Arabidopsis thaliana: one gene and its partner. The protein of the gene in region 1 interacts with the protein of each later gene in a pairwise test. Each region holds a gene or a part of one and is shown on either strand. Other genes may lie near its edges. The genes, in order: EXO70H7 and TRS120.

Region 1 (4,702 bases):
TTAAATGAATGTAAGATCTCATTATAATGAATAAACAAATGTTTCTATAATCCATTGTGAATGTTTTGTTGGATCTCTTCTGCAGCATATAACTACTGTATGTGCTATGGTATGGACTATGGAATATGATTAAAGATAAGATGGGCTCATAGAGTAAAACGAGGCGAGGGACCTATAAACCTCCCTTCATCATGCTATTTCATGATCTATTTTATAAAATAAAGATGTAGAAAAAAGTAAGCGTAATAACCGCAAAACAAATGATTTAAAACATGGCACATAATGAGGAGATTAAGTTCGGTTTACGTTTATTTTAGTACTAATTGTAACGTGAGACTACGTATCGGGAATCGCCTAATTAAAGCATTAATGCGAACCTGATTAGATTCACCGACCCTCCTATCGTGTCGACCTTTCTGTTTCTTAGAATTTTTTGGTAGTCTATGTACTAATAATGTCAGCTTCGTATTTATTTCATAAGCAATTTGCATTTGCAATTTGTTTTTTACTTTTATTTTTATTGTATTGTGGAATGTGGACTCGTACCAACATGAAGTTATATACCACCAAAAAAATTACAGTTAGTCAAAAGATTCACGAGTGAGAGCTACTTATGATTGTCTTTTACGTATATGTCTAATTGTCTATTTGCTCAATAATCTTTGTACTTTCTTTTGTCGTTGATAAAATCACAAAGTTCCAAAAGTAATCGAATGATTTGCTTTTAAGAAAAGAAGAGCTCAATAATTCAACATATATCTGTACACACATAATTGAATAAGATATTCGACACATCAATCACTATAGGTTACATTATAACCACACAAATTAAAGAAAAGAAAAAAAAAAAACTAATATCACGAGATTCTCATTCAATGACTACTACGTCCGCCACGAGCTTTACCCGTACTCGACGAACCAGTTCCGGATCCGGATCCGGATCCAGACCCACCAGCTGTCGAAACACTCCCTGAGCCTCTAGACCCAAAGTAAAGATCCGAGAGGTAATTCCCAATATCTTCAGGGGTATATCTGGAAATAGCCTCATTATCTCCAACCATACCATATGCAAACCGGTTCATCCGGTAAAACTCGGTACAAACCAGCATAAGTTTCTGACTCAACGTGATTTTAATCTGGTCCCTAAGTTTCGGGTCGGGTATAACCCACGAAGTCTGTTTCCGGTACGACGTCTCAAACTCATCGTTGAATCTCGCCACCAAAACCTTAGCTTCCTCCGGCGAAATCTCATCCGTCGGAATCTCCGGTAGTAAATCCAGCACTTTCCCCCACGCAAGCTTCTCAAACTTATCAGCATACAGCTTCACCTTCTCTTCATGCCTAAACACCCAATCGTCTCCGAGAAGAACCTTCAGAGTCGACGATCGGACTTTAACGACGACGTATTGGAGATTGTTAGCGAGGAAGAGATAAGACAAAGCAACGTCTTTATACGGCTGAGCTTTACCGTCGATTTTACAAAGCGTGAGTAAAATCACCCAAGCGATACGTACAGAGACCGGAGACGAATACAGATCCTCCGGATTCGCTTCATCGCCGCCGCTTATGTATAAAGAATCCGGCAACGGCGTCGGCACACTCAGCTTCCAGTTTTCGAATATCGCAGCGATGGAATCACTGTAATCAGCGAGGAAGGAGAGGTAATTCATAACGTAACGAGTCAGAGGATGAACACCACCACCGATGATCGGAGTCTTCGAGGTTTCTTTCTGAATCGCCGATTCGAAATCCGTCATCATCAACCTCGTCGCATCGCCGAGTCTAGCTAACGAGTTTATCACCTGAGATCTAACCGCAGCAGCTGATTCGAAGTAGAAGATTGATTCAATCTCAACATAGAGATTCGCAAGAGCTTCATACATATCCAGAAACCGAAACATTTTCTCCGGAGTTAACTTTTTGATCTTGGAAGCATATTCCGGGAAAGTGAAGAGAATCAATGCTCCTTCTTGAGTAATCTCAGTGAAAGAAGATTCAACGATTAAACCAGAGGAAGAGAAAACATGATCAGCTAAAATCCTCTCACCGAAGAACAATTTTCTAACAGCTAATTTCACAGCTTTTAGCCATGTTTTGATCTTTGATTCGAGAATCTCCCAATCCATTTTCTGAACCTGATGAAGATTGAATCTCTCCATTTGCAGATTATGCAGCGTCTCATCAACAATCGATTTCCGTACGGTTTTATAAACCCTAACGCATTCCTTAGCGTAGCCGGTAGAGATCATACAATCAGCAATCATCTTGAGATCATCCATTGCGTCGGAATCTCCACCGGAGAATCTATGCTCTTCGTCGGCGTTTTCTTCGTAACTGCTTTCGTCTTCGGAATCGGAGACACTAGTCGTAGTCGAAGTACTGAATCTCGATGATCTGTAAGAACGTACAGAGACACATTCAGGATCTAAATACTCACGGTTCGCTTTTAAAACACGATGAAACTCTGATTCGAGAAGCTTCATCGCCGATTGCATTAGATTCTGTGCGTAGATTAGCTTCTCCGAGGAAGGGTTAACGGAAACCAAACGATGCATCGTGCTTTGTAGATGTCTAACGGCTGTAACAAACTCCTCTGCTTCACGACGACTGTTGGTGGAGAAGAGGAAGTCGTCGGAGGAAGAAGCAGCCGGAGAAGTCCATTTTGATATGACGGTGTTGATGTTGCTCATACATTCTTGAACAGCTGATTCCGCGAGAGAGAGATGAGCTGTTGGTTTCTCCGGTGGAGGAGATGATCGGAATAAATGCTTCCCCATTTTTGTGGTTTGCTCTGTTTTTATTTTTTGGTACCGTCTCTTTTTATGTGTGTGAAGAAGAAGGTACTCTGTTTTTTTTTTTTGGTTACTCTTTAACAAAAATAAAACTTCTGGTTTGTTGTTTGTTTGTTTGGTTTTTGTAATCAAAAAGTGAAGTAGATAAGATGAGGAAGGTGGAGGAATGAGCTATATATATTATAGAAACGACGGCTTTTTCAATGAAATATACGTATATGCGTATATGTGAGTGTACGTATAGATATGTGGAGAAGAATGGTTGATTAGTCAAACGCGGTGTCAAATAAGACAAGACATTGGGGAAAGTCAATTCTGACGAAGTTTTTATTTTTACATTTATTGCTGCTTTCATCTGCAGCTGTGAATTTTGCATAGTTTACCGTTTTCGAAAAGAGGTGCTATTAAATACACTAGTAGTAATTCACCAACCAAATTACCAAAATATCACAAAAGGTAAATCTGTAGGATTCGTAAGAATTAATGTTTATATCCTAAAACTGTCAATATTAAATGTCACGAAATTGCAAAACTAATATACCCTTAACTGAAAAATCCTTGGCTTTGATTGGGTTAAGTACTAAGTAAGTACGTCATCTATGATCTATGATTCTTGGTTAAACAATAAACAATTAGTTTGAGAGAGTTGTTGAATATAAAATATATATTATAAGTGATACGATGATCTTAAATTCTTGGAAACTCTCGTGCACAAATCAGGACAGCAAAATTTTGTGTGGTATGAATTTTAGAATAAAATGAATGTTAGTACGTGTGTTACAGTTAGTTTTTATCAGTATTGTATTAATATATTTAACGGATGTAATGGAAAAACACAATTAGCTTTTTTTATGATACAAACTGTTAGTTAGCTTTCTACTAGATTTGTATTTTTGGAACCGAAGATTTTGAGGAAGGTTCCTTTGCCTTATAAGTTGAAAATTGCGTACTGCCGCCACATAAATGAAATCAACAGTTTATTTGTTAACAGATGTTCAAAGATCCTAAATTGCCAAAACACGACTACTAATTCATAGTTTTCTCCATCTCTTTAATTATTAGGGGAGAAGAGAACACAATACAAAATTTCCCATCTTAAACCATTTTCAGTAGGTTTCATCGGTGTCAAATATAAATCTAATTAGCAGTCAGATATTAAATCAATTTAAAGACTCTTGCTTCAGATTTTAAAATATTTTGTACAGTTAAATATGTTCCCAATCAAAATTTTATTGTGAAGTTAAAACTATTCATAAACACACAGCAGATGTTGAAATTACATCCTAAATTTCATAATCATATTCAAAATCATAGAAATTTAAAAGTTTAATATAGGATAGAAGTTAAAACTTTCACTGTCATTTTAATTGTGTTTAGTTAAGAATAGATGAAAACAACAAGACTGGAGACAATACGGCTCTTGATTCGGTAAAATTCTGATATTGTCTAAGCTCTCTAGTCTCAAAGCGATTTCATAAAATGATATAAAATTACCGTAATCAACCGACCATACTTTTAACTAAAAAGATAATTCAACCGACAATCAAACGAAACGGCAGTTACCAAAATTCAACGTGAGGAAGGTAGCATGATAATATATGCATGTAAATTATGTGTTTGAAGAATAATTATGTTATTTTAATCATTGTTTCTGAAATTAGTTTGCTAACGGAAAATTGCAATAATTTCTCTTTCTTTTGTCGTCGAAAAGTAAAACAATTCTAAAACGGGAAAAAGACAGTGAAAAAGAGAGAATCTAAAGATTGATTTTAACATAAGTAACACGTGAATCGAGTGGAAGTTGCCGACTAGGATAAAGCTAATGTCACCCACCACTCATGCAATTCAAATGGTCCTCATTCTCCATGGCCCCTAGGGATTTCGACTAGACAGGAGCCGACCCACTTGTT
Region 2 (8,246 bases), about 21 Mb from region 1:
AACCTCATGGGAGATCTTTGCACAGATGAATAAAAGCGATGCACCCAAGCTGATGTCAGGGAAAGAGGTGATAAACTCATCATCATCTGTTCATTTTACAACCATGAGACATGTGATACGAGAACAGATGCGTGTTATTGAGAAATCAGGAAGAAGTGTTTTTGAGTATTGAGAGTAACCTCCAGCAACCGTGCTCATTAATTTTTCAGTGTCATTCCCCGTGATTAAACCAAGATGTGTTAAACCACAGGATGTCAAGAACGGTTCTAACTGAATCACCAGAGGAATACAAGAGGCCGCTTTGTCTCTGATGCTAACTGAAATAATAGCCTGCAAAACCAGACCAAATCTAAGGTATTGAAGAAAATCTATATGCTCATAATAAAAGAGAAAAGTCAGAAAAGTTCCATGATATCGAAACAAAGTTGGAATCAAGTACAAACCGTTATCTGTATCACATAGAGACAAAGTAGACAACGGACTTTTGCTTCTTCTTCGTTATTCTGTAAAACAAAGAAAAGAGATCAAATCAGGCAAAACGAATATTCAAATTAGAGAATTTACACTTTGGGTAGTGATTTAGGGAATCCTAATTGCCAATTTATCAAACTTACAGACCAGTTTTGAAGAAACGTCTCGAATTGAAGAGGCAATGCCTAGAGCCTTATCAAATAAATCTTCAACTTGCACGTCTGTTTCCAATGAAATGTCCTTCAAAACGTTCAGGACAATTGGAACTGCAACCTTTAATTGCTCGTAGTGACGCCTCTGGATCAAAATAAATACTGAAACCAGGAAATTTGAATAACTTTTTACTGCTTCAGTTCACGAAGACTAAATTAATATCTTCAGTAACAAAACTAGTTAGGGATTCAAACACAAACTTTAAGATATTCATACTTAAGTACAATCAAAGCAAGAGTATTACTAAAATTGCAGGTGCCAAGCTAAAATTCACTTTCATGAGAGAAGTCTATAAATTTTAGGATATTCATACTTGTGTACAATCAAAGCAAGAGTATTACTAAAACTGCAGGTGCCAGGCTAAAATTCACTTTCATGAGAGGAGTCTATAAATATCTTGAAAACGAGAAATCTTCAACTGGTACCTTTAGAGAGCCCATGCAATAAAGGAGTAGAACAAGTGGAGGCTGAATGATAGCACCGTGCAGCATCGAGTGCCTGGTTCAGAGTCATAAGGTGATCAAAAAGAACTTGTAATCTTCTTATGCCAAATACCAAGAAGGAAAAAGAAATTCCAGATCAATTACCTCACAAAGAATTGAAAGCATATCCCGTGGATTGCATGCTTCCACAAACCGATCAACGATTTCCTCAACTAACTGTAAACATCTGCTTGATATGTCTGCAAACTTGGAAGTTACTTTTGGCAAGTGAAATGACAGTGCATCTATAACATCCTGTAATAAAATGAATCGGGGAACAAAATCATAAGCTTGGTTCTCTAAACAAAATCCTTCCGTTTGGCTTTGAAAGCGATTCGAAAACTGAAAAGTACCTGATCCATTTGAGGAGATGATAAAACTTTCAAAATTTCATCTAATACTTCTTCAATAACATCGTTCTCCAGTTCATTGTTAGCATCCAAAGCTACGTTCTCATACAAAGAATCCAAACAGCTGACAAGTTCTGTCACAAAACTCTCAAAGTCTTGAAATCCTCCGGCTTCTTCAACTGACTGAAAAATCACAAAATTAGCGGCGAATTTTTCATTCGAGCTCCAAAAATCACGAAACAGCTAAGTATTCATCGATCTCAAAGCATCTAGAAATTCCACCCAGAAAACAAATTACACAAACCCGAAACGAGGAGAAGAAGAAGAGAGAAAGCTTACACTGAAACACAAAGCTAAAAGTTCTCGTACACGACGCGAAGGAGAAGTAGTGACAGTAGTTGACTCGGAGCTCCCTTCAATGGACGATTCCATAACGCCAAAACTTTTCAATTTCGCCCAAGTTTCGTTCACAGTGAGAGTATTAATAATCGCGAATTTAACCATATCGTTTGGTTATATGAATAGAGTTTAACCCCGGATAGTCTAATTCTAACTAAGAATAGTTTAATACCTGTACCCAAACAGACCACGTTCTCTCTCTCAACACTTTCTCGTTTTCGTCTCCTTCAGATCCGGTGCACTCACGCTCACCGAAAGATCCTCACTCTCCTTCTCTGATCTCGCCATGGAACCTGACGTCAGTATCGAGACTTTGTCGATCATTCGGATCGCCGTCCTTCCGATCGGCACTATTCCGCCGACGCTTCTCCGGGACTACCACTCGATGCTGCTCCGTCATCACACGATCGCGCTCTCAGCTATTAGCTCTTTCTACACTGAACATCAGAAATCTCCATTCACGAATCAGCCGTGGGATTCCGGCTCTCTCCGGTTCAAATTTGTGCTTGGTGGTTCTCCTCCGAGTCCTTGGGAGGATTTTCAGTCTAATCGGAAGATGCTCGCCGTGATCGGCCTTTGCCACTGTCCCTCGTCCCCTGATCTTGATTCTGTCACTGAAAAATTCAATGTCGCTTGTAAGAGTTATTCCTCGGCTCTTGTCCGGCGCTGCTTCGCTTTCTCCCCTGGCGATTCGCAAGTAAGTATATTAGTTTCCATGCTTCTTATCTGCTATGGCATTCTTAGCTCGATGCCGATGGATCTAGCTAGCTTTTTTCTGATTTGTCTCTACAGTTGATAGTGATGTCCATTTTTTGTACCAGTGATTTAGTTACTTGCTTATGGATGCGTTAGATTGACGATTTACTGAACAATGTACTGTCTTTTGCAGCTTGAAGATGGAGACAAGAAGGGTGAAAATTTGATTTTGTTTCCTCCATCTGACAAGCAAACTCAGGAGTTTCATTTACAAACAATGATGCAAGACATTGCCGCTTCGCTGTTAATGGAATTTGAGAAGTGGGTTCTTCAGGCAGAATCTGCTGGCACAATTTTGAAGACGCCTTTGGATTCCCAAGCTAGTCTCAACTCAGAGGAGGTTTATGTCTAGGTGTCCTATAATTTGGTCTACGTTTCATTTCTTCCTCTGGAAGCTTATAACTTATTAGCATAGTCTTCTAGGCTCACTAGTTTTGTTTAATGCAGGTTATTAAGGCCAAAAAGCGTAGGCTGGGACGTGCACAAAAAACTATAGGAGACTATTCCTTGTTGGCTGGTTCACCTGTTGATGCCAATGCTCATTATTCTACTGCTCTGGAACTGGCCAGATTGACTGGAGATTACTTCTGGTATGCCGGTGCCTTGGAAGGCAGTGTTTGTGCCTTACTGGTAAGGCTTTATGCAAATATATCTCTAAATGCATTGTTCTTACATTTTTAATAGTATTATAGTCCAAAAACATGGATAGTGATGTGCTGTTTATCGAAAGTGCACTGATTATGAAATTGCTCTCATCTGTCCCTCTTTAATTAAGTTTGCAATCATCTTAGTTTTCCGTTTTCTTAATATTAGGTAGATCGGATGGGTCAACGTGATGTGGCTTTAGAAGATGAAGTTAGATATCGATACACTAATGTTATCTTGCACTACAGAAAGTCATTTATTCAAGAAATTGCTCAGAGGTAATTCTACCAACCTGTTTGGCTTTCTTCTTCGATAAACTTAAGTAATAGCAATCAATTCTCTTCCTTGCAGAGTTTCGCCCCTAAGCTTTGAACTCGAAGCTACCCTTAAGCTGGCCAGATTCCTTTGCAGGTATCATTGTATGCTCTCTATTTCTTTAAATTATCATGGTGTGGTTTCCTTTCTTGCCGTCTCCTGCTTAAGTTTAAGGTTGCTATGGTATTTTTGTCTAGTAGGAAGCTATATCGCTACTAAAATTTAAATATAAACTCATGGGATCTTGTGTGTGTGTGGCTTTGATCCTCTAAAACTATCTGCAACATTCAACTTATAATACCAATATATTGAGATTACTATTAAGTATTAAGTGGCCTAGTGGAGGATGGCTGTATGTTAATGTTTTGTGATTGATGGTGATGTTAGCTGGGAAAAGAATAATTATTACGTTTTGAAAAAGCTAAAATACATGGGTTTTCCGTTTAGTATGAAATGATACTCTCTGGTTGTGGCAGCTTTTATGTTTTTTTAACCTTCTGGTTGCATCCTCATTTTTTTCTTGGTATCTTTGATCTTAATCATTCTTACAATGTCATTTTATGTGTTGTGCAGGAGGGAACTGGCTAAGGAAGTAGTAGAGCTATTAACAAATGCAGCTGATGGTGCAAAGTCTTTAATTGATGCCAGTGATAGGCTCATATTATATGTTGAAGTAGCGCGTTTATTTGGAGCCCTTGGTTATCAACGGAAAGCAGCCTTCTTCTGTAGGCAGGTCGCCCAATTGTATTTGCAGCAAGACAATCGATTGGCTGCTATCAGTGCCATGCAAGTTCTCTCTATGACAACTGATGCATACAGAATTCAAAGTAGGGCATCCATGTCAAAAGTGTCGGTTAACAATGTGAGTTTGCCAGCATAGGCATTATTTTTCCTCTCTTGTGTTTGATTGAGCATGGTTTTCTGGAGTTTTTTTTGTTATCATCACTTTTCACTATCTTGGTATTTATCCATGTATCATACTTTGATAATATATTGTATCTTCTCTTGTGTTTGTTGGTAAAGGAAACTGGGCGCCTACCTGACGCTGGGAAAATGCATCATCATTCCATTGTCTCCCTGTTCGAGTCCCATTGGAGCACTTTGCAGATGGTTGTGCTTAGGGAGATACTCCTCTCTGCTGTTCGTGCTGGAGATCCCTTAGCTGCATGGAGTGCTGCAGCTAGGCTTCTGAGGTGGCATTATCCTCTAATTACACCTTCAGGTCAAAATGGACTTGCTAATTCCCTTGCAAATTCAGCGGATAGATTACCTTCTGGAACTCGCTGTGCTGACCCTGCCTTGCCTTTTGTAAGGTATGTTTATCAGCAGTCAACCTTTTTGCTCTCAGAGATGTTTTGCTTGTGCACTCTCACCATCATGAAACAACCTAACTTGGTCATGTTATATTTCCTAGCACTCTAAGTAGAGCAACGAGATCAGAAAAATAAGTAATAATCTCTTTTAATCCATCTCTTGGGCTTCATATATGCCCAATATGTGTTTATTTTCAGGAATGTGTTCCATGTTTGGTTCTTAGCTGACTCTGGCAAAACTGTGTATGTTTTGGCAAATTTTAATGGTTCTTCTAAGCATGATTATTTTAATGAAATTTCAGGCTATTCTCTTTCCCACTCCATTCCTCCCAAGTGGACATCGTAAAACGCAATCCAGCAAGAGAAGATTGGTGGACAGGCTCTGCTCCTTCTGGGCCATTTATTTACACTCCTTTCAGCAAAGGAGATGCCAACGAAAGTAGCAAGCAGGAATTGATTTGGGTGGTCGGTGAACCAGTTCAGGTCTTAGTGGAGTTAGCAAATCCTTGTTGCTTCGATTTGCGGATTGATAGTATTTATCTCTCAGCTCACTCGAGTAACTTTGATGCGTTTCCTGTCAGTGTGGACATTCCCCCTAACTCTGCAAAAGTGATCACATTATCTGGTATTCCAACAGCTGTAGGACCAGTGACAATTCCAGGCTGCACAGTTCACTGCTTTGGTGTAATCACTGAACATGTGTTCAGGGATGTTGACAATCTGCTTCTTGGAGCAGCACAAGGACTTGTATTTTCTGACCCTTTCAGATCCTGCGGATCTGCAAAGCTACGACATGTATTTGTTCCTAACATATCAGTTGCTCCTCCATTGCCCCTCCTTGTGGCTAATGTTGTGGGTGGTGATGGTGCAATTATTCTGTATGAAGGTGAAATTCGGGAGGTGTGTATAAATTTTGCAAATGCTGGCACAGTTCCAATAGTACAGGCACATGTCTCGCTCTCTGGAAAGAATCAGGATGCTGTTATCTCGATCGCAGATGAAGCTTTACAGTCTGCTCTTCCCTTGAAACCTGGGGCACAAGTGACTCTGCCTGTGACTTTAAAAGCTTGGCATGTGGGTCCAACTGATTCTGACAATACTATGAGCAGTGGCAGGAATGCTGCGGGTAACACAGGAAGACCAAAAGACGGAACCAGTCCATCATTGCTTATTCACTACGCAGGTATTCATTTCTTCCTTGACGTATGTTTCTATGTATCTTACTTTTTCAGTGCTTCATGTATCCTCACGATGACTAATTACTAAAAGCATTTTTGTATTCATATTTTTGCAGGGCCATTGTCTAACAATGGGGATTCCCAAGAAAAAGAATCTATCGTGCCACCGGGCAGACGGCTTGTTGTTCCCTTACAAATTTGTGTTTTGCAAGGTTTGTCGTTTGTGAAAGCTCGTTTGCTTTCCATGGAAATCCCTGCACATGTGAGTGACAACCTTCGGGATGAAGACATTGAAAGAGAGAGCAATGCAGACAGCCTTGTCAAGATCAATCCCTTTAGGGGAAGCTGGGGACTACGGTTTCTTGAACTTGAGTTATCTAACCCAACAGATGTTGTTTTTGAAATCAGCGTCTTCGTTCAGCTGGAAAACTCTGCCAAGGAAGATGATTCTTCACCAGTACAAGATTCTCCAGAGTATGAATACCCGAAAACAAGAATCGACCGGGACTATTCTGCTAGGGTACTGATTCCATTGGAGCATTTTAAGCTACCGGTTCTTGATGGTTCATTCTTCACAAAGGACCCTCCACCTGGTAGCCCTTCAAGTAGTAGAAATCCGAGCTTCTCAGAGAAGAACACGAAAGCTGAGATAAACACATTGATCAAGAATCTCATCTCTAAGATAAAAGTTCGGTGGCAATCAGGAAGGAACAGCTCAGGAGAACTGGACATCAAGGATGCAATTCAGACAGCTCTCCAGACGACTGTGATGGATGTTTTGCTCCCAGATCCGCTAACATTTGGTTTCAGACTGGTCAGAAACGGTCTGGAGAAGGATCCTGAGACAAAGGCTGAGTCCCCATTTTCAAAGGGATCTGTTCTGTCACATGAAGTCACTCCTATGGAGGTTCTGGTCCGCAATAACACTAGCGAAGCTATCAAGTTGAATCTAAGTGTTACTTGCAGAGATGTAGCTGGACAGAACTGCACTGAAGGAGCTGATGCCACTGTCCTCTGGGCTGGTAAGATTCCTGTCACTAAGTAATAAATATTTGTGTAACATAGATATTTGCTGCCATTATAGCCGTGTGTATTACAATGAGATATGTAAAAGGTGGCTTATACTTTTGTCAGGTGCTCTTAGTGGAATCTCAATGGAAGTAGCGCCGCTGCAAGAAGCAAGACACTGTTTCTCACTCTTCTTCCTTGTTCCAGGAGAGTACACGATGGTAGCAGCTGCTGTAATTGAAGACGCTAACAATGTACTCAGAGCACGAGCAGGAACTGCTTCTCCAAACGAACCCATCTTCTGTCGTGGACCGCCTTTTCATGTCTGTGTAGCTGGAGGTGCACTGTGATTCGTTAACCAAATCAGGTCTTGGCATTATAATTTATACTCTGTTTTTTGCTCTGTTAGTTGATTTCTCGAGAATCAATTATAAGTTCCGGGTTTAAGTATGGGTCTTTATAAATATCTCTATAATTGCTTGTGTGTTTGTCTCTGTATTTACCTTGGGTCATCTTATGACCACCATGCATAGACTATGCTTTTTTGGAATTTTACGGCCTCGGTTCTGAGACTACTTTTCTCAAAGTAAGTGTTTGTACTCTGCTCAGTGGGATCACTTTCAGTGATAAAAAGAATAAAACGATTATAGCATAATATTAGCAAAAATAAAACTATTTAACCATGAATTCCTTCCCTATTGTGTATTGAAAAGGTCCACAGAGCAATGACATAACTTTCACCGTCAAATAAATACCATTCATTGATATAATCAAACAAGGCAGTGAAGTTTCCCCAAAGCTCGTATGTCGTGTATTAGTGGCCTTACGGATTAATCAATAACTAAAAAATAATACAATAATTTACTTTAGAAATAGTTACGATTATTAATTTAAAGCAAAAAAAAACTGACACAAAGTATCTTTGGCTAAAGAGGATTGTCCTATTCTATTGCGTTTGTTATTTTAAAATTCTGTGCAATTTATCTTTTTGGCTGAAAGACATGAACGAAGTTTGGTTTCATTTTGTGGTTGTAATACGCTTTCATGAGGTTATGAATATATTTTAGTCAATTACTACGTACCAATAATAATTTGGAAAAACCACCCACCAGCTAT

What was found.
Region 2: the proteins of EXO70H7 (region 1) and TRS120 interact in a two-hybrid assay, tested with the Arabidopsis thaliana proteins (one study listed by BioGRID).

What each region holds. Positions count from the first base shown.
Region 1 is NC_003076.8:24,063,228-24,067,929, forward strand, and holds EXO70H7 (exocyst subunit exo70 family protein H7), read right to left. Parts: upstream 2,944-4,702; 5' UTR 2,778-2,943; coding exon 873-2,777; coding exon of another isoform or gene 869-872; 3' UTR 650-868; downstream 1-649.
Region 2 is NC_003076.8:3,493,131-3,501,376, forward strand, and holds TRS120 (TRS120), read left to right. Parts: upstream 1-2,064; 5' UTR 2,065-2,201; coding exon 2,202-2,612; intron 2,613-2,804; coding exon 2,805-3,011; intron 3,012-3,118; coding exon 3,119-3,301; intron 3,302-3,484; coding exon 3,485-3,594; intron 3,595-3,667; coding exon 3,668-3,727; intron 3,728-4,204; coding exon 4,205-4,493; intron 4,494-4,654; coding exon 4,655-4,944; intron 4,945-5,246; coding exon 5,247-6,127; intron 6,128-6,238; coding exon 6,239-7,144; intron 7,145-7,256; coding exon 7,257-7,480; 3' UTR 7,481-7,815; downstream 7,816-8,246. Other genes in the region: ALF4 (aberrant root formation protein), read right to left, coding at 1-86, 180-330, 444-503, 619-785, 1,110-1,182, 1,272-1,421, 1,520-1,699, 1,856-2,020. UniProt on the Arabidopsis thaliana protein: Specific subunit of the TRAPP II complex, a highly conserved vesicle tethering complex that is required for the proper transport of proteins in post-Golgi trafficking pathways to the growing cell plate in mitotic active cells.